Linked DNA regions of Stegostoma tigrinum. The protein of the gene in region 1 purifies or fractionates together with the protein of each later gene. This does not show direct contact. Links are inferred from orthologs where the notes say so. Each region holds a gene or a part of one and is shown on either strand. Other genes may lie near its edges.

Region 1 (10,153 bases):
GCAGCCGTGTAAGAAGATTGCTGGCCTCACTTTCTTAAAAGCAGCTGGGGTTGGGCTTTAAATAATTGTTAAATCCCAGGAAAGGATAAAATAATGCGAAGTTGCTCTTCTACCTTTACTTCCATTTGTGCACCTTCTCCACAACAGCTTAAGGTCATTTCCACGTATCTGGAAATACACTGGATAAGATACATAGAATCAAGCCATTTGACCCAACCAATTCATCCTGGTGTTCATCCTCTGATATAAACTGAAAAAAAAATCCAGTCAAATAGCAGTCTTTTCCCCAGAAATGTTTATTCCTCACCAAGTGAAATATTTAAACTGAGAATTGGCTGCAGGAGATCGAATAGGTTGCTTTGAAAATTACATTCTTAATATGGTGCCTTCACCTTTACACCCCTTTGATATCAATGGTTTTTGTTATTTTCCCAATCATGGCTCACTTGAAGCACTCTTTCCTCTGAGTGTGGGTTCACGATCTCGTACAAAATTTGAGCACAAAAAGTTAGGGTTGACACCCAAGTGAGGGAACACTGCATTGTTGGAGATTACAATTTTCTTAAGAGATATTAACTGAAGCCCTCTCGGGTGAACGTAAAAGGATCTAATGGCACTGTTTTGAGGAGCAAGTGAGAGATCCCTTGTCATTATTACATTGTTGAGTGACAACTTGCTGTGCACAAATTATCGATTGCACTTCTTACATTATACCACTGACTACAGTTCAGAAAGTGTCAGTTGCTTGTGAAGCTTATTGAGATGTCCAGTGATTGTAAAAAGTACTACACAAGTGTAAAGTCTTTTGTTTAGTGGAAAGGTAAATTCTTGATGATAAACAAATAAAGATTCCATTGATAGAGAAGTGTAATTCAAACTTTTCAAATGCAGCATCAGTAAAAACATTTTGAACCACCACGACATGTACACATTTCTGTACATATCCAGGTCACTTATTTTTTTAACTCTCCCAATTCCTAAGATATCGAGGATAAGACACATTGATATATCATCAAACTGAAAAACTTTCCAGACTGCTGTAAAAAAACCCCAGGGATATATTTATAGGTATATATTTCTTATTTCCTCTAGCACATCTTCTTTCAAACGTGACCACTGGGAATTTTCACACAAACTAACTTAATTTTCTGTCCAAATGTTTGTTGATATGATTTGTAAGAACAAACAAATTTGTTTTATATAATCATATATCCAAAGCTATTATGTATGTAAGCTATTGACAACCATTAGGAACACGTCACACAAACTTTTGGCATCTGGTAGTACTGAATATTATTGGCATCCTCTTTGACCTGCTGTGATATGTTTACACTATGAGCTCTCCCCCTTTCTCTCTATTTCACTCCCTTTGTCTTTGCTAGTGCTTTCTGAGTTGTGTGCTGCATCTCTCTCCTCCGCAGTTTCTTTACATGTGACATAGTCAGTTGATGATAGAGGATAATAATAATAGCGATTGAAATTGGTCAGTTTCCATACTGGGGAGTGATAAAAAAAATAGGCTTTGCATGGTGGCATGGTGGCTCAATGGTTAGCACTGCTACCCTACAGAGCCAGAGATCCGGGTTTGATTCCACCCTCGAGTGACTGTGGAGTTTGAACATTCTCCCCGTTTCTGTGCGGGTTTCCTCCGGGTGCTCCAGTTTTCTCCCACAGTCCAAAGATGTGCAGGCTAGGTGGATTGGCCATGCTGAATTGTCCATTGTATTTCAGGGATGTGTAGATTCATGGGTTCTAGGGGGATGGATCTGAGAGGGATGCTTTGAGAGTTGGTGTGCATATGTTGGACTGAAGGGCCTGTTTCCACTCTGTTGGGATTCTATGATGATTCAGAATGCTAAAGTGCACCACAATTTGTGATTCAACACCAAAACCATACTGCCCTACCCCTCGTCTCTCCCACTTTTCTGTCTTGACAACAACACAAGGTGATGCTTGGGCAAGTGGGGAAAACTAGTTTGTGCAGTCATAATATGCAAGCCGTTATTGTATGAGGTATTTTTCCTGTGCATCTATTTTGAATATACATATGCCAGGTACTCACCTAATTTGATATGTGCATAGAGAGCAGACTTATGATTTGTCCTGGCTTGCTGTCGGCCCTAAAATTCAAAAAAAGCAACTGGCAGTCAATCTCTGTAGCAGAGAGAATTGTTGACCTCTATTAACCTCTTTCCTTTTCTCAAAAGAATGCCGAAATGAGCTTGTTCTTCTTTTGTTGCTTGTTTCACAGCCCTGTTGTTTAAAAATACCCGTTATCTGGCATTTGAGACAGAAATCACTGCAGGAACATAACAGCAAATAAACGTATTGACCAATTACACTTCTACTGGAATTTCTAAACCATGGTACAAATACTGTTAATTAATTTGTGTCACAATGAAGTAAGATTTGTAAATGTAAATACCAAGACATTTGATGATATCTTGATAATTACCATGACATTTATTTGTGTCATTATTTCATCATTTTAGATAATCTCCCAGGAGAAATGCACGTTATTCTTTTGTATAATCTTAAATTTGTCTATATTTTTAATCACAAACAGCAGAGAGTGATTGCTTTCTTCAACTGTAGAATGAAGTATTTTAATCAAAAAAAAGTTAATCTTCACTTCAACTAACATCTCTAACCCTACTAGAAAAACGGTAGGAACCGAATAGCAGGTTGCTGCTGCAAAATATTCAACATTATACTATTATAATGTTTATTAACCTGAATCCACATGCCCAATATAATTTTCAAATTGTCATGCCATTTTGGTCTCAAGGACACGTTGCAGCTGTGTAGTTCGTGGACTAGAGTCATAGGGTCATACAGCACCAAAATAGATACTTTGGTCCAACTCATCCACGCCGACCAAGTTTTACAAACGAAACTTGTCCCATTTGCCGGCATTTGCCCCGTATCCCCCCAACCTTTTCCTATTCATGTACCTATCAATATGTCTTTTAAATGTTGTAACTATACCTGTATCTACCACTTCCTCTGACAGCTCATTCCACATATGAGTGACCCTCTGTGTGAAAAAGTTTCCCGTCAGGTACCTTTTAAATCTTTCTCCTCTCATCTTAATAATATGCCCGCAGGCTTTGAAATCCCCCATCCGAGGGAAAGGACCCTTGCTATTCACCTTATCTATGCCCCTCATGATTTTCTAAACCTTAATAAGGTCACTCCTCAACCTCCTTTGATTCAATGAAAAAAGTCACAGCCCATTGCAGCCTATCCATATAATTCAAACCCTTCAGTCCCAGCAACATCCTGCTAAGTCTTTTCTGATCCCTCTACAATTTAATAATATCCTTCCTATCGTACTCTAAAAGTTGCACCACCAATGTCCTATACAACCTCAACATGACATCTCAACTCCTGTACTCCATGGTCTTAGCAAAGAGGGCAGGCATGTTAAATGTCTTTTTGAACACCCTGTCTACCTGTGATGCAAATTTCAAAGAACTATGTACCTGAACCCTTAGATCTCTTTGTTCAATAACACTATTCAGGGTCCTATCATTAACTGTGTAAGTCCTGCCCTTGTTTGTTTTACCAAAAATGCAAAACCTTACATTTACCCAAATTAAACTCCATCTGCCACTCGTCAGCCCGTTAGTCAATTGGTCAACATCTCTGTAACCTTGGATAACCTTCTTCACTTGTCATTATACCACCAAGTTTGGTGTAATCCACAAACTTACTAACCATTCCTCCTAAATTCTCAACCAAATTGTTCATATAAATGATAAACAAAAGTGCACCCAGCATTGATTCCTGCAGAACACTGCCGGTCACAGGCCTCTAGTGTGAAAAACAGCCGTCACCACCACACCCTGTCTCCTACCATCAAGCCAATTTTGTATCCAATTGGCAAGCTCTCCTTGAATCCCATTTTATCTAACTTTACTAATTAGTCTGCCATGTGGAACTTTATCAAAGATTCTACTAAAGTCCACAGAGACAATGTCTACCGCTCTGTCCTCAATCTTTTTGGTTACGTCCTCAAAAAATCTCGATCAAGTTTGTGAGACATGATTTCCCATGCCATGCTGACTATCTCTGATCAGTCCTTGCCTTTTCAAATGCATGTAGATCCTATCACTTAGAGTCCCCTTCATCGGACTCTCAAAACCATTTTGTCAATTATAGGGAAGAAAGGGTTTGTGAGAATTAGGATTTTTCAAATAAAAATGTAAAAACATGAATATACAAAAACAAAATACTGGTGATGATGGAGATCTGAATTAGAAACAAAATGCTAGTGAAACTCAGCTGGTCTGGCAGCATCTGTGGAGAGATGGTCAAAAATCCCAAAGGAGCCAGCCCAATGTTTTGGGGACTGGGTTAAAATCAGGACATCTGGTGGAATATGAATGTAATTTCATAAAAGTCAGGAAGTAAAAAGCTAAGTGACCTTGAAACGATCATCAAGAAACAGAACAGCTGCGTAGGGTCACTCATGTCCTTTAAGAAGGGAAATTTGCCATCCTCACCTCGTCTGACCGACATGTGATTCCAGACCTACAATGAAGAGAACAACTGTTAAGAATGACATCAACAAACATTTCCCCTTTATCTTCCCCATTGAAGAAGCACAAACAAAAATCCAGAAATAGCTTTAAAACAAGAGGACGTCATGCATGTCCTGGATGAAGTGGAGTAAGGTTTAGGATATTTTATTATTGTTTATTCGTAGGCTTCGCTGCCTGAGCCAACATTTTGTTGCCTGTCATGAGCTGCACGTGAATATTTTGCATGGAAAAAACGATCCTGCGGAAATATTAACACGAAAGGGGTGCAGTAATATTATTTTGGCAATAATCTTTAAAGTTCAAATACAGGGTAGATCCTGAACACAGGTTTCAGAACAATAGGCTGTGAATGGGAGATGTGACTTTTTGTTGTACAGCGACATGCAGTGTGCCAATAACTCGGCACCAACTTGTCAATTGCTGCGGGCATGAGGCGAAAGCGCTGTCACTCAAGCCCCACCCCCTCGCGGGCAGCCAAGTGCACAATGTACGCATGCCCAGCCCCTACCCTCCACGGCAAACCTGAAAGCGGAAGCGTAATGACATCAATGATTGCCACCTCCACTAGCCAACCACCGATCGGGAAGTGGACAGCGCCTCCGCCGATTGGCCGGCCCTCCGTGGAGGTTTGGCCAATAGCAGGTGGAGGTCCGTGCCGGTTGTGTCGGGGGAAGAGGTGGGACTTGGCACGGTGAGGTCTGGTTGGGAATGTTCCTTTATTTACATCAGCTCCGGGTCGTCGTCGTCGTCGTCGTCGTCGTTGTTTTTGTGAAAGTCTGGGACTCGCTTGGTTCTTTATCTGTCATTAAGTCCTGAGAGACAGAACAGAGGACTGCCGGCTTTGTAAGTGAACCTGGAATATGTGTGTGCGCGCGCGTATATGTGTTGATGGGTGAGGTGGGCCGGCGAGTGGGGTAAGGGTGTCCCCGGCCTATCCCAGCCCGGCCACCTGCCCCCTCAGTGCCCAGGATCCCCCTGACAGCTACAGTGCTAGAGGTATCCGGCCCTGGGACTGTCGCTGCTCCAGCTGATGACCACCTCGACCCGGATCGTGTTTTGTGCCTCTCAGCAGGATGACACCCATCACTTGGTCTTCCTGATCCTGATGGTTACATGTAAATATATTCTTTTCCGTTACTGCTCTTGAAGATGCCGGTTGTATTTCTGCAAATGTGCATACCATCCCTGGTTGTTAGGGGCTTTGTGGTTGAAGTTGAGGTTGACGTTGTCGTTGTCAGGATCCAGTAACGAAACAGAAAGGGGGTCGTAGGGTGAAGAAATGGGAATCTCCCTATTCTTTTCCAGCTTACAACTTGGAAATACAGCTCCTGGTTGAACTAGTTTCGCTGCTGATTGGAAGCTTTGCTTTGAAGCAGGAAGCACTGTAGCACATGGTGCGTTTATGTACTGAGTCACTCGGGGAAACCTTGCCTTTTAAAAGTTATTTCTCCAAGAAACGATGTTTTCATTTGAGGGATTAGAGTTGTATAGTTAGCCCCTGGCAGACATCCATGTTGCGTTGACCACCTTACGCATTCATTCCCTCCACCATCAGAGCAAAGTGGCAGCAGCGTTTACTGTATAGAAGTTGCACTACAGCAACTCATAGTTTCCTTTAATAGCTTGATACCACTCAGAAGGGCAAGGGAGCAAATGCCATAATGTTATCACCTGCAATTTTTTCCTCTAAGCCACACACTACCTTGCTTGGAATTATGTTGCCATTCTTTCCAGGATGACCAGGTGGTGTATGGGGAGGGGTTAAAAATAAAAGGCACAGCAGGGAGTTGGGAGGCTGCCATGGTAATGAAACTGTAGGTAGTAGGGTTGCTAGTGAGATTAGGGGAGTAGCCAGTTTGCTGTGCCCTTGTACTTGGTACTGCCTTGACTCTTATCAGCAGGAAGAGAAAGAGCATTAATGTTTGGTTCCAATATGATGTTTCTTTGGAATTGAATGGTAAAAGTAATGTCTGTTACAAACCCCTGACTCCTTCAGTTGCCTGGACTACACTTCCTCCCACCCTGCTTCCTGCAAGCACTCCACCTGTTCTTCCAGTTTATTATTGTTGCACCTGTTTTGATGATGCCACTTTTTAAAGGAGTGCTTCTGACATCATTTTCTTTTTTAGAGTCGTAGAGATGTACAGCACAGAAACAGACTCTCTGGTCTAACTCGTCTATGCTGTCCAGATATCCTAAATAAATCTCATCGTTGCTCATTCCATACATGCACCGCCCTTTGTGTGAAAAAATTGCCCCTTAGGTCCCTTTTGAATCTTCCCCGCCTCACCTTAAACCTATGCCTCTAGTTTTGGACTCCCTCATCCCAGGAAAAAGACCTCGTCTATTTATCCTATCCACGTCCCTCATGATTTTATAAACTTCTGTAAGGTCACTTCTCAGCCTTTGACTCTCCAGGGAAAATAGCCCCAGCCTATTCAGTCTCTTCCTATAGTTCAAAATGCCCAACACTGGCAGCATTCTTGTAAATCTTGTCCGAACCCTTTCAAGTTTCACAACAACCTTCCTATTAGCAGGGTGACCAGAATTGTACACAGTATTCCAAAAGTGGTCTAACTATGTCGTCTACAGCTGCAACATGAGCTTCCAACTCCTATTCTCAAAGCACTGTCCAACAAAGACAAACATACCATTTGCCTCCTTCACTATCCTATTTACCTGCAACTCCATTTTCAAGAAACTATGAATCTGCACTTCAAGGTTTCTTGGTTCATTTCTCTTTTAACCTTAGATTTCTGTTATGGTGCACGATACTTCTGCCCTCAAATCTTTCTGCCTGTGTCAGAGCAATAATAGGGAAACCCCTGTGCATTTGCATTTAAAGGATCATCCTCTGCCACTTACATCACGCCCAGCAGGATGCCTCCACATCTTCTTCTCCCCTCCCTTATCAGCATTCTGCAAGGACCATTCCTTCTGCAACACTGTGTCTCTTCACCATCCTGCGGCACTGTGGCTCAGTGGTTAGCACTGCAGCCTCACAGCTGCAGAGACCCGGGTTCGATTCCAGCCTCGGGCGACTGTCCATGTGGAGTTTGCACATTCTCCCCGTGCCTGCGTGGGTTTCCTCTGGATGCTCCGGTTTCCTCTCACAGTCCAAAGATGTGCAGGCTAGCTGGATTGGCCATGCTAAATTGCCCGTAGTGTTCAGGGGTGTGTAGATTATAGGTAAACGGGTCTGGATGGGATGCTTCAAGGGGCGGTGTGGACTTGTTGGGCTGAATGGCCTGTTTCCACACTGTAGGTAATCTAATCTAATCTTATTGCAATCAACATCCACAATACTTTACCTCAGTATCTTACACAGTACCTCTAAACAGTGATGTGTTGTTTTGTATCAGTTGTCCTTGTTCTTCTAAGTGGTAGTAGTTGTGGGTTTGGGAGGTGCTGTCTTAGGAACCTGAGAGAATTTCTGCATGCGTCTAGTAGATTGTACATCAGAGGTGTAGGGGTGTGGAGCAAATTAAGTGGGTTGCTTTTTCCTGGGTAGTGTGGAGTTTCTTCAATGCTGTTAGAGTTACGCTCATCCAACTAAGTGGAGGGGGAGTATTCCATCACATCCCTGACTTGTGCTGTGTTGATGGTGGACAGGGTTTAGGAGTCAGCAGGTGAGTTACATCCTGAAGGATTCCTAGCCTGCAACCAGTTCTTGTCGCCACAGTATTTAGATAGCTAGATCAGTTCAGTTTCTGGTCATTGGTAAGCCTCAGGATGTTGATAGTGGGAGATACATTCAGTACATTAAAATATATAATCTAAATGTATGTAGAGATTTTTTTCTTAATTGAGTACATTAGACTGTAGAACATTGACAAACTTTTCAATGTAAGACTTAAAAAGGAAGTAAATTTTGCCTCTCAGAATTCAGATTTTTGTTAGGGAACTGGGATTAGGTTCTGTTTTGGTTCTTTCATGGCACAGTTGAAAACAGCTCAGCCCTGGACAGGTTCTGACCAGTAAGGCTGGCTTAAAAGCAAACACTTTTTTTTCCCTCTTTTATTGTTAATATTGACAGCTTAGACATTCAAACATTCACAAACTGAAAACTTCACCCTGACAAAGGCAAATCATCTCTTTGGTTGTTGCAAGGTGGTATGTTATTTTAAGAACAAAATAAAATCAATGGCTTGAATTCAATACATTTTTAGAACTTACTGTTCAGGTGGATAAATCTAATGACATAAAAGAAAATTACATGGGAATTTAATCATGTAATGTGCCATCCCTTGTGTGACGTTATTGGTGAGCCACGTTCTTGAGCCACTGCTTCAGTTACTTTCATAATGCCTTTGGGTAGAGAGTTTCATCACACTGAACCAGCAACAATAATGTTTCCAGGTCAGGGTGACGTATGACTTGGAGAGAAATTGCAGCTGGTGGATTTCCTAGTCCTCAATCCTTAATGGTGGTGGAGGTTACGATTAAGGATTTATCCCAGGATTTGATGTTAATGGGAGGGGGAGAAATATGCTGGGTTATGAGATGACAGATTGTGTTGGAATTCAGTTCTGCTGTTGCTGCAGGCCAGTAGTCTCTCCATGTACAGTTTTAGCTGCTTGATCTGTTCTGAATCTATCCTATACACTACATTTCAGAAGAGGGTGCAACAATGAGATTTTTGGACTGCAATCACTCAGGCCACCACTTGGGTAGATGCAACTGGTTTGTTTCAAGTGATGTTTGACATGGAGGAGTATTGATCCACCAGCTTGAGGGAGAGTGATAACTACTAATTAGGAGGTTTCCTTACCTGCATTTGACCTGATGCCTTGAAACATTGTGTCCCACATTCAGCACACACCCAGAAATGCTGTTGGAGATGGGTGGAATGTGGGCTGAAGAATGTGAATCTGACAGTAACTGCCATATTGTTGCTTGACTTGTCTGTTAGGTAGTTCTTGGCCTTTTCAGAACACAGTTAAGATTCAACCACATTGCTGTAGTTCTGGAGCCACTAAATGTACTTTTTTTTTGGTTAAGAGCAGCAGGTTCCAAAAGCATGTAAGTGATCCGGATGAGTTACTACTCTTCTAAGCTGTACATTAACAAAAATGGTTAGGCAGCCACTGATTGGATACAAACAAAAGTACACAGTAATGAAAACTTATTTAGAGTGAACTGAAACTTAAAATCAAAATAACATTGTTCAGGGTGATGATGCATCCCAACCCTTTTGATATCTCTCAGCCTCAGTTGTCCTTTATCATGCTGGTGAACGTTGCATGCCCCTTCTCAGTGGACACCTGACTATGGACATAATTTTGAAAGAAGGGTACATAGGCACATGATCTCCTCCTTGGCTCACTGCCTGGACCTGATAATGGCCCTCTGGCTGTCTGCCTGTCCATGGGCTGCCCAGAAAGCATAAGCATGGAGCTGAAGTGCAATCAAAAATTGAGGATCAGCCCCTTCAGAAAAACTGAGGTAGGGCTACACATGAAGACTTTAAACTTAACCATGAAAAACAGTTTTATCCTGGCACCAAACCACTACATGTGGCATGTCACTGGGTGTAATGAATAACTTATGATTGATTGGACCTGCTATGTGCAACTCTCTCCGCAGATCCCAAATGGAACATGGAA
Region 2 (10,731 bases), about 18 Mb from region 1:
CCGTCATAATTTTAAATTTTCTGGTCACACTCCCACTCACAGCTAATAGTATTAGACTTTGGATGCAGAAAGATCCAGTCCTTTCAAAATTGAACCAACTAGTGTTCATGGGGGAAGCCAAAGGGCTCTCACAACTAGAACTGAAATCGTTTTGAACTCGGAGAGACCAGATTGCAGTAAAGTGACGGCACATTGTTATGAGAGTAATAGCAATTGTCCTGAGCAAAGGTAGCTGCGAAATATTGGCTGAACTCTGCCAGGGTTATCCAGGGTTTCCAAAATGAAGATGTTGATGACAAGTTATGTCTAGCAGCCAGGCCTGGATGCAGACAAAGGCACATTGGTGGGGCAGTGTCCAGAGTGACAACAAGGACAAAGATTACTTCCAGCAGCTCCCCCACATTGATGGGAATGGTAAATCCTGGACTCGGTTACACATTAGAGATAACAAGGTGTAGAGCTGGATGAACACAGGAAACCAAGCAGCATCAGAGGAGCAGGAAGGCAAATGCTTTGGGCCTAGACCCTTCTTCTGAAGAAGGGTCTAGTCCCAAAACATCAGTTTCCTGCTTCTCTGATGCTGCTTGGCCTGGCGTGTTCATCCAGCTCTACACCTTGTTATCTCAGATTCTCCAGCATCTGCAGTTCCTACTATCTCGGTTCACATCAATTATCTTTTCATGGGCCCAATGTTCTTAGTCATTGTAGATGCCCACTCAAAGTGATTGGATGTGAATCGGGTCCATTTGTCAAACATGGGGACAATGATAGAAAAACTGTCAATGCACAGAGTCACAGAAGTGTTGGTCACAGATAACAGGTTTACCAGTGGGGAATTTGGACTTGATTATTGGATCACTCTTCATGCAACTACAGGGATAGCACCGGCAAATTTGCTAATGGGCAGAAGACTCAGCCCCAGGGTAAGTCTGACCTTCCCTGATCTGTTCGGGTGGCGAGGGGGGGAGCGGTTTGTGAAACAGCATCAGGAACCCAAATGCCAGACACAAGACTCCGCCAAGTGAAAGAGACAGTTTGATGCAGGGGATGAGGTTTGCTGTAAGAATCACAGAAACAGCCTCACAGTTGGGTAAGAAGCATAGTTAATGTGAGATCATAGGTAGGTCCTTTGTTTTGAAGAGCCTCCTGGGACCTCTGAGCTCAGGGTCAGGTTCTGCTTTCTCTGCCTCCAATCTGAGCGACGTGTACCACATGTCGAGATCAGGGCCAGTGACATATAAAGTTTAGGTAGGTGCAACAGTCCTGAACAAGCACGTGGACTATATGAAAGCTGCAAATTTGTCAACTGTGCAGGAGCAAATTGTGCCCTGCCCCTTGGAAGAGTCAGAGAGAACACCAGAATCTGTGAATTCACCCTCCCCATCGAGCATTGACAAGTCCTCAGAATCAGACAGGCTGGATATAACCACTTCGATGCCTTTGCTGCCCGAAGAAGAGTGAAATTTTACCGAGGTGGTCCTGGCACAAGAGGAGTGCTCCCATGTGGGACATGTCGCTCAGATTGGAGGCAGAGAAAGTGGAACATGACCCTGTGCTCAAAGGCCCCAGAAGGGTCTTCAAGAAAAAGGACCTGCCTATGTCCTCAGAATCAGATGGGGAGGGACTTAGTGATTGCAGGAGGTCAGTCAACTGGACCATATAGAATTGGGGCTGTTAATCTGATTCAATGGGGAGACCTGGCTGACAGATAAAAGGGAGTGTCAGAAATACTGACAGCCTAGGAGCTGACTCTGAAGACAAAGGACTAGAGTCAAAGACCGTTGATGTGTAAGTAAAGGGTGACTTGGTGACAGGATACCGGCATCTGTAGAGTTATTTCTGTCTGCCCTCAGCTAACCCTCTTTGCTGTTGCTAAGTTTCCATGTTAACAGTTAGTCTCCTACTCACCTCAATCATGCTATAAAGTTAAACAAGGAAAGCCTCTGATCTCGGACACAACCGCACAAAGCTCACAGGTACACAATACTGAATGATGTACAACTTAATCTTGATGGTAGGATCTTATTCTAAAATAGCTTTACATTATTAAGCATTCATTGTATGCAAATATATTACAATTACAAGCCTACCACAGACCAGTGTGAGGCCCAACGCAACGGTGAATTTATCTCTACATTTCATTCCACCTGAGGGAAATCAAAATTTTGCATCCCACTTAATTCATTAATTTCCCCAACCAAACCTTAGAAAACCTGGTCTTTTCATACATTATAGATCGTGCAGTGCAAAAAAAATTGCTATACTTCCTAAATTATATCAGCAACTAGACTTTAAAAATACTCTACCTGCTGGCTTGAAGTTATGAGGCACTATGTAAATGCAAGTTCCTTCTTTTGGAAATTTGACCAAGGTGAATAAAGAATGGAATCATGAGTAGCTATAGTGAATAGACCATAAGAGATAGGAATGTGCCATTCGGCCCGTCAAGTCTGCTTCACCATTTGATCATGGCTTATATGTTTCTTTGGCATTTGGACAGGGATGGAAGTATGAAAGGTACAGAAGTGAAAGGTACAGCTCAGGCAAAATGAAGTGTTGGAGGTTCATGCACAGCATAAACACCAATGTAGGCCAGTTATACTGTGTCAGAAATAATGGGAACTGCAGATGCTGGAGAATCCAAGATAACAAAGTGTGAAGCTGGATGAACACAGCAGGCCAAGCAGCATCTCAGGAGCACAAAAGCTGACTTTTTGGGCCTAGACCCTTCATGGGGGATGGGGAGAGGGTTCTGGAAAAAAATAGGGAGAGAGGGGGAGGTGGACCGAAGATGGGGAGAAAAGAAGATAGGTGGGGAGCGAGGGAGGTGGCAGGTCAGTCCAGGGAAGACGTGCAGGTCAAGGAGGCGGGATGAGGTTAGTAGGTAGGAAATGGAGGTGTGGCTTGAGGTGGGAGGAAGGGATGGGTGAGAGGAAGAACAGGTTAGGGAGGCAGAGACAGGCTGGGCTGGTTTTGTGATGCAGTGGGGGAGGGGGCGAACTGGGCTGGTTTTGGGATGCAGTGGGGGAAGGGGAGATTTTGAGCTGGTGAAGTCAACATTGATACCATTGTGCTGCAGGGTTCCCAAGCGGAATATGAGTTGCTGTTCCTGCAACCTTCTGGTGGCATCATTGTGGCACTGCAGGAGGCCCATGATGGACTTGTCATCTGAGGAATGGGAGGGGGAGTTAAAATGGTTCGCAACTGGGAGGCGCAGTTGCTTATTGCGAACCGAGCGGAGGTGTTCTGCAAAGCGGTCCCCAAACCGCCGCTTGGTTTCCCCAATGTAGAGGAAGCCACACCAGGTACAATGGATACAGTATACCACATTGGCAGATGTGCAGGTGAACATCTGCTTAATATGGAAAGTCATCTTGGGGCCTGGGATAGGGGTGAGGGAGGAGGTGTGGGGGCAAGTGTAGCACTTTCTGCGATTGCAGGGGAAGGTGCCGGGTGTGGTGGGGTTGAAGGGGAGTGTGGAGCGAACAAGGGAGTCACGGAGAGAGTGGTCTCTCCGGAAGGCAGACAAGGGTGGGGATGGAAAAATGTCTTGGGTGGTGGGGCCGGATTGTAGATGGAGGAAGTGTTGGAGAATGATGCGTTGTATCCGGAGGTTGGTGGGGTGGTATGTGAGAACGAGGGGGATCCTCTTGGGGTGGTTGTGGCGGGGGTGGGGTGTGAAGGATGTGTTGCGGGAAATGTGGGAAATGCGGGAGACACGGTCAAGGGCGTTCTCAACCAGTGCGGGGGCAAGTTGCGGTCCTTGAAGAACGTGGATATCTGGGATGTACGGGAGTGGAATGCCTCATCGTGGGAGCAGATGAGGCGGAGGCGGAGGAATTCGGAATACGGGATGGAATTTTTGCAGGAGGGTGGGTGGGACGAAGAGTATTCTAGGTAGCTGTGGGAGTCAGTGGGCTTTAAATGGATATCAGTATCTAGCTGGTTACCTGAGATGGAGACTGAGAGGCCCAGGAATGTGAAAGATGTGTTGGAGATGGCCCAGTTGAACTTGAGGTTGTGGTGGAAGGTGTTGGTGAAGTGGATGAACTGTTCGAGCTCCTCTGGGGAGCAAGAGGCGGCGCCGATACAGTCATCAATGTAACAGAAGAAGAGGTGGGGTTTGGGGCCTGTGTAGGTGCGGAAGACCATAAGACCATATGACCATAAGACATAGGAGTGGAAGTAAGGCCATTCGGCCCATCAAGTCCTCTCCACCATTTAAATCATGGCTGATGGGCATTTCAACACCACTTCCCGGCACTCTCCCCGTAGCCCTTGATTCCTTCTGAGATCAAGAATTTGTCGATATCTGCCTTGAAGGCATCCAACGTCCCGGCCTCCACTGCACTCTGCGGCAATGAATTCCACAAGCCCACCACTCTCTGGCTGAAGCAATGTCGTCTCATTTCAATTTTAAATTTACCCCCTCTAATTTTAAGGCGGTTCCCACGGGTCCTAGTCTCCCCGCCTAACGGAAACAACTTCCTAGCGTCCACCCCTTCTAAACCATACATTATCTTGTAAGTTTCTATTAGATCTCCCCCTCAACCTTCTAAACTCTAATGAGTACAATCCCAGGATCCTTAGCCGTTCATTATACATTAAACCTACCATTCCAGGGATCGTCCGTGTGAATCTCCGCTGGACACGCTCCAGGGCTAGTATGTCCTTCCTGAGGGGTGGGGCCCAAAATTGGACGCAGTATTCTAAATGAGGCATAACTAGAGCCTTATAAAGCCTCAAAAGCACATCGCTGCTTTTATATTCCAACCCTCTTGAGATAAACGACAACATTACATTCACTTTCTTAATTACGGACTCTACCTGTAAGTTAACCTTTAGAGAATCCTGGACCAACACTCCCAGATCCCTTTGCACTTCTGATTTGCGAATTTTCTCACCGTTGAGAAAATAGCCCATGCCTGTATTCTTTCTTCCAAAGTGCAAAACCTCACATTTACTCACATTGAATTTCATCAGCCATTTCCTGGACCACTCTCCTAAACTGTCTAAATCTTTTTGCAGCTTCCCCACCTCCTCAGTACTACCTGCCTGTCCACCTATCTTCGTATCATCGGCAAACTTTGCCAGAATGCCCCCAGTCACTTCATCCAGATCATTAATATATAAGGTGAACAGCTGCGGCCCCAACACTGAACACTGCGGGACACCACTCGTCACCGGTTGCCATTCCAATAAAGAGCCTTTTATTCCAACTCTCTGCCTTCTGTCAGGCAGCCAATCCTCAATCCAAGCCGGTAGCTCACCTCGAACGCCATGGGCCCTCACCTTGCTCAGCAGCCTCCCGTGAGGCACCGTATCAAAGGCCTTTTGGAAGTCCAGATAGATAACATAAAGAGGGACTGTTCCACGTACTTTGTGGTCTGTTTCTGTAACAAAGAGAAAAATGCTGGACAAACTCAACAATCTGGCAGCATCTGTGGAGAAAGAGATGTGGCTTGTTTGCCTGTAATGAATTAAATGTGGTTTGTATCCATATTCAATGTAGATAAGTTATTGACGACAATCTCAGTTTTTAAAAGATTGAGGTAAATGGAATTAGCGTATTTGATGTTTGTTGGTTAACTATGTTTTATTTTTTTGTACATTCTATGAATAAAGTATATTTTTTCAAAAAAATTTGATGTTTGTTTGTCGGCATTGACATGATGGGCCGAATGGCTTGACTCTATACTGTACGAGCCTACGACACGTACCAAAGAATGCGACAACTTCTCCTAATTTGTTAACAAGCAATGTGAGAGCATTCAACCAAACAGGACTGGTAACAAAGACAATAAAATGTGAGGCTGGATGAACACAGCAGGCCCAGCAGCATCTCAGGAGCACAAAAGCTTTTGTGCTCCTGAGATGCTGCTGGGCCTGCTGTGTTCATCCAGCTCCACACTTTATTATCTTGGATTCTCCAGCATCTGCAGTTCCCATTATCACTGATCACAAAGACAGTCGCTCCCTTCTGCCAATGAACATCTGGAGGTTGGACTTGTCTGTATCACATGCTGAACGGGAAGTGACAACTTCAACAAGATCTGTCTTTGCATGTTAAATTAGATACGAATTGCAGTGGGTTATTTTGTGTTCTTCATCTGACGTCCAAACGTTTTCCCGGTGATTTTACAGGTGAGTGTAACAACAGAGTTTAAGAAATCCCGATCTATACCAAACTTCCCAAATATGTATTTAGAGAAGACGATTCACGTTTGACCGCATTATTGCTGGTTGTTTAAATTCGTAGAGCTTCTAAAGGGGATTTCTTTTTTTAAAAAAAAGGAGGAAGTGGACAGTTTTAGACAGTTTTGCACCGAGACTCAGATCAGTTCTATTACTGTGACGTTCTCATTTGCGTTTTCCCCGAGGTGTTTCGCCAGTCTGGGAATGGTTCGCATTCATCTGTGTCCTGGTTGTAAAACGTGTAGCAAAATCGTGAGATTTCCTGCAGTTGATTTCCTGCGCGCAAAGTGAAATTGGAACAAAAGGCATTGAGGTCACATAACCCAGTTTTATATATATTTGACTCTGTCGTTGTTTGAGAGAAGTGATAGGGATTGGAAAGTGAAACTTGGGACGAGATTTGTTTCCGGCTACACACTTGTCCCCGCCTCCGCACGCAGCGCTTGTTTAACTCCTGTGTGTTGTGTAGTTGGTAGATAATTGTTAAGTTTTGACCCCAGTCGATATCAAGCAGTTGGTCACCCAAAACCCAAAAGGATCTGGTAATTACAGCTTCCAAGTTTAACCTATATTTTCTAATCAGCCTGTTCAAAGTTTCATACCACTGTGATTTGTTCAAATTCTTGTCTGTTCTTTCTCAGCCAGTACATCAAAGGATTGGGCTTCACATTTTTGGAGTCTGCACTTACTATTGGAAACTGCATTTTTGATTGCAGAGGTATAATCGTGTATTTAGGATATTTCGGAACTTGAGTAGGCCATTCTGCCCCTTGAGCCTGTTCCACCCATTTGATGCAATCATTGGCTCATCTGTGTTTTAACTCCATATACCTGCCCTTGGCCCTTATCCCCTAATACCTCTGCGTAACAAAAAATTATCTATCTCAGATTTAAAATTAACAACTGAACCAGCATGCATTGCCATTTATGGAGGAAAGTTTCAAATATCTATCACCCTTTGTGTGTAGAAGTACATCCTAACATCTGTCCTGAACAGTCCATAAGACCATAAGACATAGGAGTGGAAGTAAGGGCATATGGCCCATCGAGTCCACTCTGCCATTTAATCATGGCTGATGGGCATTTCAACTCCACTTCCCTGTAGCCCTTGATTCCTTGTGAGATCAAGAATTTATCAATCATCGCCTTAAAGACATCTAATGTCCCGGCCTCCACTGCACTCTGTGGCAATGAATTCCGCAGACCCACCACTCTCTGGCTGAAGAAATGTCTCCTCATTTCAGTTCTAAATTGACCCCCTCTAATTCTAAGGCTGTGCCCACGGGTCCTAGTCTCCCTGCCTGATGGAAACAACTTCCCAGCATCCACCCCTTCTAAGCCATACATTATCTTGTAAGTTTCTTCAAGATCTACCCTCAACCTTCTAAACTCTATTGAATACAATCCCAGGATCCTCAGCCGTTCATTGTACGTTAAACCTACCATTCCAGGAATCATCCGTGTGAATCTCCGCTGGACACGCTCCAGCGCCAGTATGTCCTTCCTGAGGTGTGGGGCCCAAAATTGGACACAGTGTTCTAAATGGGCCTAACTAGAGCTTTATAAAGTCTAGCCCTAATTTGCAGACTACGCCCTCTGTTCTAGAATCCTCAACCAGTGTAAACAGTTTTTCCTTTTAATATCTTGAATACATCAATCAGACCACTTCATAACCTTCTAAATTCTTGAGAAAGCAGCCCTACTTTGCACAATCTCTCCTCATCATTTGAAGTCCAGCTATCATTCTTGTAAATCTACCTTGCACTCCTTCTAAAACCAATATATCCTTCCTAAAGAGTGATGCCCAAATTTGCTCATAGTACTCCAAGTGGCATCAAACCGGGGATTTCTGGTCTATCAATAAATATCCCTGTGTAGATAGTGTGGATGATAGCATAAAATTACAATGCTGCCTAACTTTGTCATCAGCAAATTTGGATACGTGACTTTTTGTGCTATTATCCCAGTCATTAACAAATAATGTGAATAATAATCTAGCACAGATTCTTGTGGGCCAACACTGATCACATCTTGCCGATTTCAGTTCCTGTCCGTTATCCCTATATTTTGTTGCCTGCCAATTTCCTCGCCGTGTCCTCACGTCTGTGGGCTTCTACCTTAGTTGACAGTCTCAAATGTAGGATTTTATCGAATACCTTCCAGAAGTCCAGTTAAATGAGATCTGTAGGCATTTCCCTATCCAATATCTTAGCCACCTCTTCAAAACATTATTTGTCAATCTACTTGTCACAAATCTGTGCTGGCTGTCTCCAATTTAACTGAAAAATTTCAAGGTGTACACTTATCCAATCCTTACTTGTTGACTCCAACAATTTCCCCACAACAGATTTAGTTGACTGGTTTTTCCTTTGTCGTCCTTCTTAAAAAGCAGAATGACGTGCAATTTTCCACTCCGAAGGGGTGTCTCCTGCATCTAGGGAACACTGAAAGATTATATCTACAGTGTGATACCCCCAATTCCTTTTCCATCCTCAGATGAATATTTTGTTTTATTCAGTCCCTGTTCCTGGTCCACTAATAACTTCAAAAATATAATATTCTTGGTCTCATTGTGCTGTTAAAGATGTCCTTGATACAATATATCAACCTTCAGAATGACCAATCTCTGGTCATAAATGAGTAAATCATCTACCACGCTGGGGTGTCCTTACTGTTCATTACACAATCCCATTCTCAGATTGTACAGCATCTTTGTTGGTCATCCTTTGCTGTACTGTCTGACCCAAGTGCATTCTTTGTCAGCTTTCCCTGCCTCGCTGGATGGTAAAATTGGGCTTGTCATTGATGTAAAGGTTTTGAACGTTTCCACTACGAGCATGATGGGCTGACTGGCCTCCTTCTAAATCATCACAATTCTGTGATTCAGGAAAAATGACATCCTGTTGATCAAGCCTTGCACATGGAGAAGGGACAAAGTATAGGAGCAGATTTACTGCTGATGCTGTAATCTCTTCCAAAAATAACAAATGCTGGAGATTGCAGCGAGTCAGACAGCATCCATGGAGATTCAGCAAGTGCACATTTTGAGTGGAAATGACTTCATCAGATGAAGAGCCATCTTGACTTGAAATGTCTCTCCATGGATGCCGTCTGACTCGCTGTAATCTCCAGCATTTGTTGTTTTTGGGGACAAAGTATCTGCTGCAGTGTGCCTCTTCCTGGAACATGCTCTGTCTTTCCATCATAGCGGTCATCCCTTGTCTGATTTTGTGGAGGTGTTTTTGCTAACTCAGAATTTTAAAATGTCACAAGTTTTTGTAGTCTAGATGAAGGACATAATCTGTAATGTTTCAATGCAGCTGCTAATACTACTTTCCTTATTGATGCCGTAACTCTGGTCAGTCTCTGACATTGAGTGAATCGCATAGTGAACTGATCTACACTCTCTCTATCCATTTGTATATCAATTTATACACCTCCCTTTTCTGTAGGAGAAGCATCAGCAGCAATGATCATGGGCAGCTGTGGGTTACAATGTGTTTAAATATCAAGACGATAGATGATTTATTATTATGTGTACCAAGAAACAGTGAAAAGTATTGTTTTGCATGCTAATCAGACAAGTCACACCTTACACAAGTATAACAGGGTAAATGAACAGGATGCAGAATATAATGTTACAGCTACAGAGAAGATACTGGGAAAGATCAACTCTAACATATGAGGGATCCCATCAAAAACCTGATACCAGTGCAGAAGAAGCTGTTCCTGAATCTGTTGGTGTGTGTTTTCAGACTATTGTATCTGCTTTGCATTGGGAGAGACTATAACTGGTCCTTGATTATATTTGGCTGCTTTCCCAAGGTACTTCATCACCAGATTTTCTTGGTTTTCTTAAAAAAAACATCTGTGTTGTGCCTCCTAACCAACACCATGCCTTTCTTGTCGGAGCAGTTAATTTAGTGGCTTGTTGGCACAAATATAGATTAGATTAGATTCCCTACAGTGTGGAAACAGGCCTTTGGCCCAACAAGTCTGCACTGCCCTTTGGAGCATCCCACCCACACCCATCTCCCACACACCCCTGAACACTACAGGCAATTTAGCATGGCCAGTCCACCTAGCCTGCATATCTCTTGGCTGTGGGAGGAAACCCACGTAGACACGGGGAGAATGTGCAAACTCCGCACAGACAGTTGCCCGAGGCTGGAATCAAACCTGGGTCCCTGGCACTGTGAGGCTGCAGTGCTAACCACTGAGCCACCATCCCGCTGTAATCAACCAGCAATAATGAGCAGTTCAACTCACATATTAAATAACTTCTGTAAGCATGTATTTGGGATGGGCAAGAGCATTCCAGCTTAGTTTACCATACCCAAGAGTCTCTGGAGCTCAGCCACATTGAGGAATGAGAAGCTTTTGGATTTTTCTTTGCCATCTGTAGATTAACTCTGACACTAGGTGCATGCACAGTATGCCCAAGGATCTTGACAGTTAAGTTGCAAAAATTTGCATTTGATTTGGTCCTGATTTCTGTATGTTCAACTGCTTTGTATGCCTGCGTAAGATCCAATC
Region 3 (10,831 bases), on another chromosome or scaffold:
AGGCAGAGGATCTGAGAAGGAAGATTAGATTTGAGGGTACTGTCACCTTTGACGACATCAACCTTCTGCTGGTATTGGTCTCAGCAAAGAACTTCCCTGTATTGGGAGGCACATTTCCTCCATAAGGATATAGGAAGTAGAAGCAGGAATAGACTATAGGCTCTGATCTCTGCTGTACCATTCGGTGTGGTCATAGTTGATTTCCTTCCTTACGTTGACTTTTCCATCTGCTCTCTATATCCCTTGGTTTCCTTAGAGACAAAACTCTAACTATTTCAGCCTTAAAAATAGTCATAGACAACCTTAAACAATGCATTTAAACCCTCTGAAGGAGAAATTTCGAAAAATTACAATGCAATTGCAATGAGTAAAGAAATTTCTCTTCCCTTCGATCTTAAATGAACAATTCTCTGTCTTGAAACTGTCCTTCTTTGTTCTAGATTGTCCAGCTCGTGGAAACAACTGGTCTCTAGAATTCCCTTCAGAATCTTGAGTGCTTTATTGAGACTGCATTTCATTCTTTTAAACTCAAGAGTTAAGACCCAGTTTACCCAGACTGTCATCCTAGGAGCCAACTTAGTGATTGCTCACTGTACCACTTGAAATGCAAATGAATTCTTCCTTAAATGTGGAAGCTAAAACTGTTTACAGTACTCAGGTGTGACATCACCAAAACCGCATTCAATTAGAGTGGTATTTCCACATTTGTATACTCCAATTATTTTGCAAAGGACAACATGCAATTGCTTCTCTAATTGCTTGTTGCCCCTGAATGCCAACGTTTTACATTCCTTGTACAAGTATGTCCAAGACTCTCTGAACAAAAATATCAGTGAATTCCAATGTACTTAAAAATTATTTGCATTTGCATTCTCACTATCGAAGTAAATAAGTTCACACTTCCCGCATTATATTTTATCTGTCACTGAATCATTTTGTCATTAACTTAACCTGTTAAAATTTATTTGCCAACTCTTGTGTCCATTTCACACCTTTTAGACCCACTTAGCTTTGTTTCATCATTAAACTTGGATACGTTGCCCTACATTTTATTATTTAAGTCTTTAATGTAGGTTGCAAATAGGTGAGGTGCCAGTACAGATTCTTAGAGCACTTGGTAGCTATATCATGTCAACTTAAAAATGCCCAATATATCCTGTTTTTGTTTCTTGATTGTTGACTGAGATAAGCGACTATTGGCTCCAGTCACAACTGTGTTAACCAATCCCACACCGTGCTAATGTGTTATGCTTAATTACATTAGGTGATCTTTTGTGTAGGAGCTGAATGAATGCCTTTAGGAAATCCACGTATGTGACAGAGATAATGGGAACTGCAGATGCTGGAGAATTCCAACATAATAAAATGTGAGGCCGGATGAACACAGCAGGTCAAGCAGCATCTCAGGAGCACAAAAGCTGACGTTTCGGGCCTGGACCCTTCATCAGAGAGGGGGATGGGGAGAGGGAACTGGAATAAATAGGGAGAGACGGGGAGGCGGACCGAAGATGGAGAGTAAAGAAGATAGGTGGAGAGAGTATAGGTGGGGAGGTAGGGAGGGGATAGGTCAGTCCAGGGAAGACGGACAGGTCAAGGAGGTGGGATGAGGTTAGTAGGTAGATGGGGGTGCGGCTTGGGGTGGGAGGAGGGGATGGGTGAGAGGAAGAACCGGTTAGGGAGGCAGAGACAGGTTGGACTGGTTTTGGGATGCAGTGGGTGGGGGAGAAGAGCTGGGCTGGTTGTGTGGTGCAGTGGGGGGAGGGGACGAACTGGGCTGGTTTAGGGATGCAGTGGGGGAAGGGGAGATTTTGAAACTGGTGAAGTCCACATTGATACCATATGGCTGCAGGGTTCCCAGGCGGAATATGAGATGCTGTTCCTGCAACCTTCGGGTGGCATCATTGTGGCAGTGCAGGAGGCCCATGATGGACATGTCATCTAGAGAATGGGAGGGGGAGTGGAAATGGTTTGTGACTGGGAGGTGCAGTTGTTTGTTGCGAACTGAGTGGAGGTGTTCTGCAAAGCGGTCTCCAAGCCTCCGGAGGCTCTTCCCCCCCACCCACTGCATCCCAAAACCAGTCCAACCTGTCTCTGCCTCCCTAACCAGTTCTTCCTCTCACCCATCCCTTCCTCCCACCCCAAGCCGCACCCCCAGCTACCTACTAACCTCATCCCACCTCCTTGACCTGTCCGTCTTCCCTGGACTGACCTATCCCCTCCCTACCTCCCCACCTACACCCTCTCCACCTATCTTCTTTTCTCTCCATCTTCGGTCCGCCTCCCCCTCTCTCCCTTTTTATTCCAGTTCCCTCCCCCCATCCCCCTCTCTGATGAAGGGTCTAGGCCCGAAACGTCAGCTTTTGTGCTCCTGAGATGCTGCTTGGCCTGCTGTGTTCATCCAGCCTCACATTTTATCATCAGGGTATGTGACATCTGTTGTAAAAGGTCTTGCTGAGCAGTGGTAGTGTCTCTCTCTCTAAGCCAGAAGACACTGATTCAAGTCCCACTTGCCCCGGAGAGATGTCACAGCATGATTGAACTAGTTGATTAAAATAACTACTACATCTATTGGCTTTCTGTCACCATCCGCAGAGGTGGTGGTGTGTACTGCAACTAGTAACTAAGCACTTTCACTTAGAAAAACCTGTGACCTCTACTATTTAGACAGGCAAGGATATCAATCATAGATTGCAGAACCCCTGCAGAATGGAAACAGGCTCTTTGGCCCAACAAGTCCACACCAACCTTCAGAGCACCTACCCATGCTTATCACCCTCCAACTCACCTAATCTATACATCCCTGAACACTAAGGATAATTTGGCATGGCCAATCCATCTAACCTGCACATCTTTGGGCTGTGGGAGGAAGCCGGAGAACCCGTACGAAACCCACACAGACACGGGGAGAATGTGCAAATTCCACACAGACAGTCACCTGAGGATGGAATCAAACCCAGGTCCCCAGTGACGTGAGGCAGCAGTGCTAACCACTGAGCCACCGTGCATATCCTCAGATGCATGGGAACACCATTACCTGCAATTTCCCCTCCATGTTGCACTCCATCCTGACTTGACAGTATAATCTCAGTCATTCACTATTGCTGGATCAAAATCCTAGCACTCCTTCCCCGAACAACATTGTGGGCGTGATTACATCAGATGAACTGCAGCAATGCACAAGTGCAATGCACCACTGTCCTCTCGGGGAATAATGGGCAACAAGCTAGCAATGTTTGGACCCCATGAAGGGATAAAAAAGTGCATCACATATTTTGATCAATGGCTGGTTTATTGTATATTGTGATTTGTGCATTTGTTGGCAGGGGCAATCTACTTTAGATCCCAACATATTTTCCAGATGTTAAAGCCTTACTGTTGTTTAGAGTGTTCCTGTACACAGATTGACTGTTAAATACTACTGCAGTAATAGACACTATATAACATATACAAAAGTGATACAGGTTGGATTCAGTAACATTGCAGTTGCCTCATCGAAGCATTATTTTTCACTTTAAATGAATGTGGCTGAGAGTTCAATTAGTTGCAACACTAACACCAATTAATGAGAAGAAATTCATTTTCATCGTGGGTCAGTTCAGACGAGTTTCTGGGCCCTAAGGGTAAATATTGGTGTGGATGGAAATAATACATAAATTGTTCTGTAAGAATAAATTAGTACAGGCTTCTTAAATAGCTCAACTAAAAACATGGCTTTCACCTCTTCAGTATCCTTACCGTCCACCTTTACTTGTAATTTTAATCAAGTAAGATGGGGAACAATTCCCCAAAACAATGATTAAAATAAGATAACTGACCCACGAGGCCTCAGCTGGAAACAGATTCATGCTACTAAAGCACCATGTTTTTGGAAATAGTGACCTAATTTTGAAGCATTATTTACAAACTATGAAGGCAAGCAAAGAGAGCTTAACAATAACAAAATGTTATCCAGACTCAACAGTAGTCATTCTGTTAGCCAGCAGTCAGTCCATTAGAATGCAATAAAGAAAGTCAGTGCCCGCTAGGTCATCCTCAGTGAATGCCCCATTGTGTGTATCCACAGCCAAATATCAAGCTATGATTCCTGCAAAAACAAGTTTAAGAATTTTTTTGGCTGCATGAGAAAAAGATACATGCACTTTGTCTAACTTTAGGACCAATTCTAAGAGGCTGGTGCCCAAGAACCAGCTCCCAGCGTTTATATTAAAAATAAAAATAGAAACTGCTGTAATACTCAACAGGTCTTGCAGAATCTATAGACAGAGAAACAGAGTTAATTTGCCAGGTCTGTGAGTTTTCCTTATTAAGTTAGCTCTTGCTCTGCAGATTTTGCTTGTCCTATTCATTATTTTCTGTTTTTGTTTCAGTTTCCTAGTATTTACAGTAGCTCGCATTCATACAGCAAAATCTGATTTCCTTAAAGCCAATAGCTGGCTTGGAGACGGACCATTGACGAAGGCCCTAAACAGCTTCACTTTTTAAAATGCTTTCTCCCTGTCCTTTGAGACATGTAAATTTTCTCTGCAGAGAACAAATTACTTACTGTTAACTGCATAGTTTGTTATTTATTAAGGTGAACGCAACAAGATCCTACAATCTGTAACAAGCTAACTTCGCAGTTGATCAATTTTTGGTTGAAGAGGAACATTTTTAATCAACCTGTTCAGACATTTTATGACGCACTTCCAGGACAGGTGGAACGTGAACTCAAACCTTCTGACCTAAAGGCACAAGCAATACTCCCGACTCCAAAAATTGGTAGCAGGAAGGAGGAATATTAATTAACCAGGGCTAGTTAACTTCTTGCTATTTAAATTGAATCACATAAACTAATTAATGACTATCAAGATCAATTGATTGGAATTTGTTTTAACCTCATTTTTAAAGACTGCATCTCAGATAATGCAAAATTTATTCAGTACGTGTCGTGTCTTCCTTATGATGCCATCAAAATCCCAGATCCACAGGATTCTGGTTGGGAAACATGAACCCTACTATCTGAACAAAGCTGGAAGATGTTGCAGAATTCTGATATGTTTCCATTCGTTTATCCTGAACAAGGGCATGCATGGACCATCAAATACTGTGTGACTTACCCCATGTGAAGCCAGTCCAGACAATGCCAACAACAAATATTATCCAAAATAAACTCCAGAAGGTGGTGTGAAGCTGAGCTGACAACTAGAAACAGGTTTTAAAAGGTATATGAAGGGTGTGGAAGCTGTGATGTTTGGAAGAGCCTCAACGCTATTGCTATAGCAACAGGGTCAGATCCATATAATCAAAGATGGGGGCGAGTGAACAGCACTGCAGTGATTTCAGTTTTTGCAGTAATGATACTATTTCAAATTGTTTATCTTTAACTATTTAATTTGCGGAATTAATTTTTAGCCATTGTTATTCTTTTCACTTGACTCATTTGAGTACTTGTGGCAATAAAACAAATTCTATTCTTTTCTCTTCTGTATCAAAGGAGGCAATCAGAATTGGTTAGTAATTTTTATTTTAACCTGTTCTTGCCCCAAAGACCACATTTCATTCGCATTTTTGTCTTTCCTTGTGTACTCTTATCTCACTGACATCATTGATTCTTCTGACACCTTCTGCTATTTTATTTTGTTCCTTTCTCCCGCTTTTCCACTTGCATCATATTTCTTCCAATGATGTGTATTTCAGGCAGAGCTTCCAGTATGCCTTCCTTTTCCTGAATTAAGGATTCCCCATCCTCTGTGGTTGACAGGTCTCCCAACGTGGCCATTGTAAATTGCACATTCACTCCCTTGCCCTCATTTTCCACCTACCAGACTTCACATTCAAAGGATCATCCTCTGCCATTTCTGCCACCTCCAGCATAATGCTCCTATCACATTTTCTGCTGCCTCCCCAGTTATATTATATCGAAAAAAATTGTCTTTAACACCCTGGTTCATGCATCAGATAACTATAATGTGACCTCCATTCCTACGGTATCATCCAGCACAACGCGTCACCTTTCTCCCTCATTCATTTTCATTATCCAATGTCCAAACAACCCCTTTCTGGTGAAATAGTGTAAACTTCTAAATCTTTCAATCTGGAATGCTAAATTTGTTGTCAATATTGCCATCTACTCCACTTCAGGGAGACAAAATACTGATTGGGTTTATCATTTGCGAAACACCTCCATTCAGTTTGTGGCCCTGAACTTCTGATCATTTCAGTCCTCTGCTTCATTGTCACTCCGCTCTTTCTGCTGTCAGCCTCCTACACTGCTTCGATTAAAATCAATATAACATTACATCTATTAATTATCCACGCGAGAGCTTTTTGGACTCAACATAGATTTCCATGTGCTTAACTCGCTAACGTTCATTTCATTTTCCAGACAGCAGTTAGAATTGTAAGATGTTTACACCAAATAGGTAAGCTATTCAGCGTGTCGAATCCATGCTGGTCCTCTGTAAACGCTATTCAATGACTGACACTCTACATTTCTCCCATGGTCCTACAAATTTTACCATTTCAGATAATGATTCAAATTGTACCGAAATCCACTATTCAATGTGCCTTCACCACACTCACAGGCAGTGTACTCCAAATCCTAACCACTTGCTGCAAAGAAAATGTTCCTCATGTCACCATTGTTTCTTTTGTTAATTACTTTATTTCTGTGTTCCAAGTTCTCTTTGTTCCACCAATAGGAAAGTTTCTTTCGGTCCACTCTGGCCAGATGGCTCACACACCTCATATGTCCTCTTAATATTGTCTTCAAGAAGTTCTTAGTAATGGTTCTGCCATGTCTATTTTTACCTTTTCTAGACCACTGCTTCCAAACTATTTTCCAAAGTGACCATATTTCAATTTGAAAGTTAACATCATATCATATACCAACAAAAACAAAACCATAAAGCAACATAGTAACATTCAGTAGAAAAGTATTAAAATATACTTATTTAAGATCATTCTACGATATAGTATATATATAGAAATATGTGTTTGTTTGACGTATTTTGTAAAGTGCTTATTATTTTATGTGCTCACCGTCCATTACTTCACCTGAGTTGCTATAGCTCATAGATAGCCAGAAAGCAAAGGATTGATTTTTATATGTACATTTGACCAAGGAATATGGATCTGATAGTGGCTTCTGCTGGAGGTGATGGAAAAGGTTATTTGGAAGCGGGTCGTGGTGGGGTGATAAGTGGGGACCATGGGGAAACTATCAGAGCTGTGGAGGGAAGGGAAGGGGTGAGTGTAAAATTGCAGGGCATGGGTCAGACACAGCTAAGGGCCCTGTCAACAATGGCAATGGAGAATCCTTGGTTGAGTAAACAAGTGGATATTTCTGAAGTCACCATGCAGAAGACAGCATTATCAAAATTGGTGCAACAGAGGTAGGGCAGTGGGAGAATAGAATAGGATCCTTACTGAATGCAGGATGTGAGGATGTATGGAGCAGGTAACTGTCGAAGTAGTTAGTTTGTACTGGAGATCATTGGCTAGCTTAGCCCCAGAAATGGAAACATTAATGTCAAGGCAGGGAAATGAGGAGTCCAAGATGGATAGAAAGGAGGAAAGAAAGTGAACAGGCTAATCTTTATTGATAACAAACAAAGAGCTGAAGATGCTGAAGATCTGAAACAAAAAGAGAAATTGTTGGAGAGACTCAACAGTCTTGCAGCATCTGTAGACAGAAAGCAGATTTAACATTTCAATTCTGGTGATCCTTCATCAGAATTGATAGTAGCTGGGAAAAGGTAGTATTTATGCTTGTGACAGCAGGTGGGGGCAGTGTGGGGGAAGGAGTGAGAGGATAGACAAAGATGGAGCCCAGAGGGAGAGAAAGAAAGTTAGGCAGACAAAGGGATGGTTGATAGTAAGCCAGGGAATGCAAAATGCTAATAATGGGGAACACAAGTAGGTGAAACTGGGTTGGCAGTGCAGAAAGCAGCCCCTGTCATGAGAGGGCCTGGAATGCAGCGGTGGGTAAAGGGCAAGGAAGATGATGTTCAGGCGCAAAATTATTGAGCTCAATATTGAGTCCTACACGCTGAAGGGTTCCCAAGTGAAAAATGAGATGCTGTTCTTCCAGGTAGTGTTGAACTTCACGAGAACATTGCAGTAAACGCAAGACAAGATGTTGGCGATGGAACACAATATTGTGTTGAAATGGCGGGAAACCGGAAGTTCAGGGTCATTTTTGCAGGCTGAATGTAAGTATTCTGGTTACCCAGTGTGCATTTCATCTGCCAAATGTAGAGGTGACCACATTGTGAGAAGCAAATACCACAAACTAGATTGAGTGAAGTATAGGTAAGTTGCTGCTTCATCTGGGGTGTGTGTCTGGGGCCTTGGATGGTGAGGAGGGTGGAGGTAAACGGGCAGATGTTACACCTTCTGCGATTTCAGGCAAAGGTGGTGGGGCACCGTGGGGAGGTGTTGAGAGTGGTGAAGGAGTGGACTGGGTTTCTGGATGAAACAATATCTGCAGAAGGCTGACGAGAGAGGGGAAGGGAATGTGTGTCTCATGTTGACATCTGTTGGAGGAGGTGGAAACAACAGCTAATTATGTTTTGGATGAGGATTCTGGTGGGGTGGTAAGTGAAGACGAGGGGGTTACTTTTGATGTTGTGGGAAGGAAGAGAAGGCGTGAGGGCAGAGTTGTGGAAAAAGCTAAGGGCCCTTCTGCCACCACCTGTTGAACCCTATACCTGCCTTAAGAATAAATGCTACTCTTCCCCAGATGTTTTCAGTCTGATGGAGGATCATTTGACTCTGCAATCTCACCACAGATGTGGCCAGACTTGCTGAGTTTCTCTCATAATTTCTGGTTTTGTTACAGATCTTCAGCATTTGTAGTTCTTTATTTTGTTTTATTTCTGTCTGGTTAAATGAACTCATTTTAAAACATAAATTCACTGAAACTAGGAAAGGTGTCCATGAGGGAAAGGGCCATTTGCTCGTTAGGAGTAGGGAGAGGAGAGAAGGCTGAATTGGAAGAAAGGGACCCAGCTCTCCCTTCCTTATTGGGGGGGCAAAAGGAATTGGAGATACTTAGCCAGGGTCTGGCCAAGCCATGGCAAGTGGATGGGAGTGAATGAAATGGAATGGATGGGGCATGGGGAACAAATGAGAGTGTTGAGAGGGTTTGAGGACTAAGGATTAGAAGGCCTTACCTTTCCAATTATTAATGGGACAAAGTCCCGTACCCTGAGTTGTGTCTTTTGAAACAGTTGACATGGGCAGCAACAGCCGCCGGTGATTGTCTCCAAAATCTTTTCCGGGAAGGTTGGCCTGATTCTGGACTGCACGTACTCTGTGCAATGAAATTTCCTTCTGTGCAAACTCTTCATTCCAAGGCAGATAGCTGGGCCAATGATTTTCCTAACTGCTGCTACCTGACCTGAAGATAAAGCTTCACACCGTAAGATTTAATTCTGCAGTTAAAGCTGAACCTGAGTAAAGATTAACATCTAATCTCTCTACTTCAACAACTCTATTTTTTGGGGCCATGATGAAAATGGCAGAAATGGCCTGAAGTCACAAATCCTGAATCTAGGTACTGCACTTCCCATTTTTGTAGGGGCAGGAGTGTAGTTACTGCATACACTGTACAGACATGCTTTGCTTAAGCACCTGGCTATTTAAGGCATAAGCAGCCTCTGCTTGAAGTGGGATTTTGGCATCCCTGTAGCATGGAACCAAGAATCTGAACATTAGTTCTGATAACAGCATGTCTGACCTTAGTGAATTCATTTGAACAACCAAGGTATTAGAGAGGTAGGTTTCCCCAATAGAAATGGTACTGGAACACTTCAGGTGGACTATAGGTGCCTATTGTGAGGGGATGTGGGAGGTTTCCATTATTTTAGTGTGGGGCTGGGGGGAAAGGAGACCCTGTATGGCAAGTTGGGTGCTATAGCAGACAAGAGAGAATGTTGGGTCCCAAAGAGAGACAGCTAGCTTGTTAGGTCAGGGTCTGGGGGCTGCATGGAGTCTGGAGGACATGTTGTTTGGTGGGCAGTGAAATTAGGTGAAGCTTGATGAAATTGACACTTAATTAAAATTCAGTCAAGAGACTTTGAAGAGGAGCAAATATTTGATCACTTCAAGGTCCTAAGCTGCTTTGAACTCAACGCAATTTGGCATCACCCTAGTGGGTGGTAATTATAGCACTCCTCAATATTAACCCTTTCAGACTCTTTCTGAGCCAGAAGCAATTGATGACATTACAAAAAAGTGACTTCTTCAAGCCATTGTGAAAATTTGCATAAACAGAGAATCCATAAGTTGAAGATCATTCGAGGCATGTGGCACAAACAGAGGTACTGTGCCATGGCTAAAAGGGGCAAGACTCCTTAGACAGCACCTTCCAAGCCCATGACCACTACCAACTAGAATGACAAAGGGCTGCAAACACAATGGAGCACCATCGCCTGCAACTTCGCATCCAGGCCACTCACCATCTGGCTTGGAAATATATCACCATTCCTTCAGTATCCCAGGGTTGAAATCCTGCAACTCCCTAGTGACATTGTGGGTCTACCTACACCAATGAGTTAGCAGCACTTCAGGAAGGGCAGCTCACCATCATTTCTAGGCAGCTACGGATGGGTAATAAATGAAGGCTGAGCCAGCAACACTTACGTCTCTTGACTGAATAAAAATAAACAATATCAACCCTCTATTCACTGCTTGAATGGCCCTTTTTCATTATAAAATCCAAAGTTCTGCATGCCTTTGTTGTTGAAGAAACCTTTCCAAATAGTTGCAAAACTACTTTTTACTTGCCTGGAGCAAAATGTTATTTATGCAACACAAATAATTGGTGCGTCTAAGCTCTCATGAGAGA

The links.
Region 2: the proteins of cylda (region 1) and spata2l purify together in Homo sapiens (affinity purification with mass spectrometry; 3 studies listed by BioGRID and IntAct, with this or other methods). This does not show direct contact. The link is inferred for Stegostoma tigrinum from reciprocal best matches to the Homo sapiens genes CYLD and SPATA2L.
Region 3: the proteins of cylda (region 1) and spata2 purify together in Homo sapiens (affinity purification with western blotting; 10 studies listed by BioGRID and IntAct, with this or other methods). This does not show direct contact. The link is inferred for Stegostoma tigrinum from reciprocal best matches to the Homo sapiens genes CYLD and SPATA2.

The regions. Positions count from the first base shown.
Region 1 is NC_081369.1:27,040,786-27,050,938, reverse strand, and holds the start of cylda (ubiquitin carboxyl-terminal hydrolase CYLD), read left to right. Parts: upstream 1-5,233; 5' UTR 5,234-5,390; intron 5,391-10,153. UniProt on the Homo sapiens protein: Deubiquitinase that specifically cleaves 'Lys-63'- and linear 'Met-1'-linked polyubiquitin chains and is involved in NF-kappa-B activation and TNF-alpha-induced necroptosis.
Region 2 is NC_081369.1:45,445,672-45,456,402, forward strand, and holds the start of spata2l (spermatogenesis associated 2-like), read left to right. Parts: upstream 1-6,002; 5' UTR 6,003-6,144; intron 6,145-10,731.
Region 3 is NC_081372.1:39,296,309-39,307,139, forward strand, and holds the start of spata2 (spermatogenesis-associated protein 2), read right to left. Parts: upstream 5,215-10,831; 5' UTR 5,097-5,214; intron 1-5,096.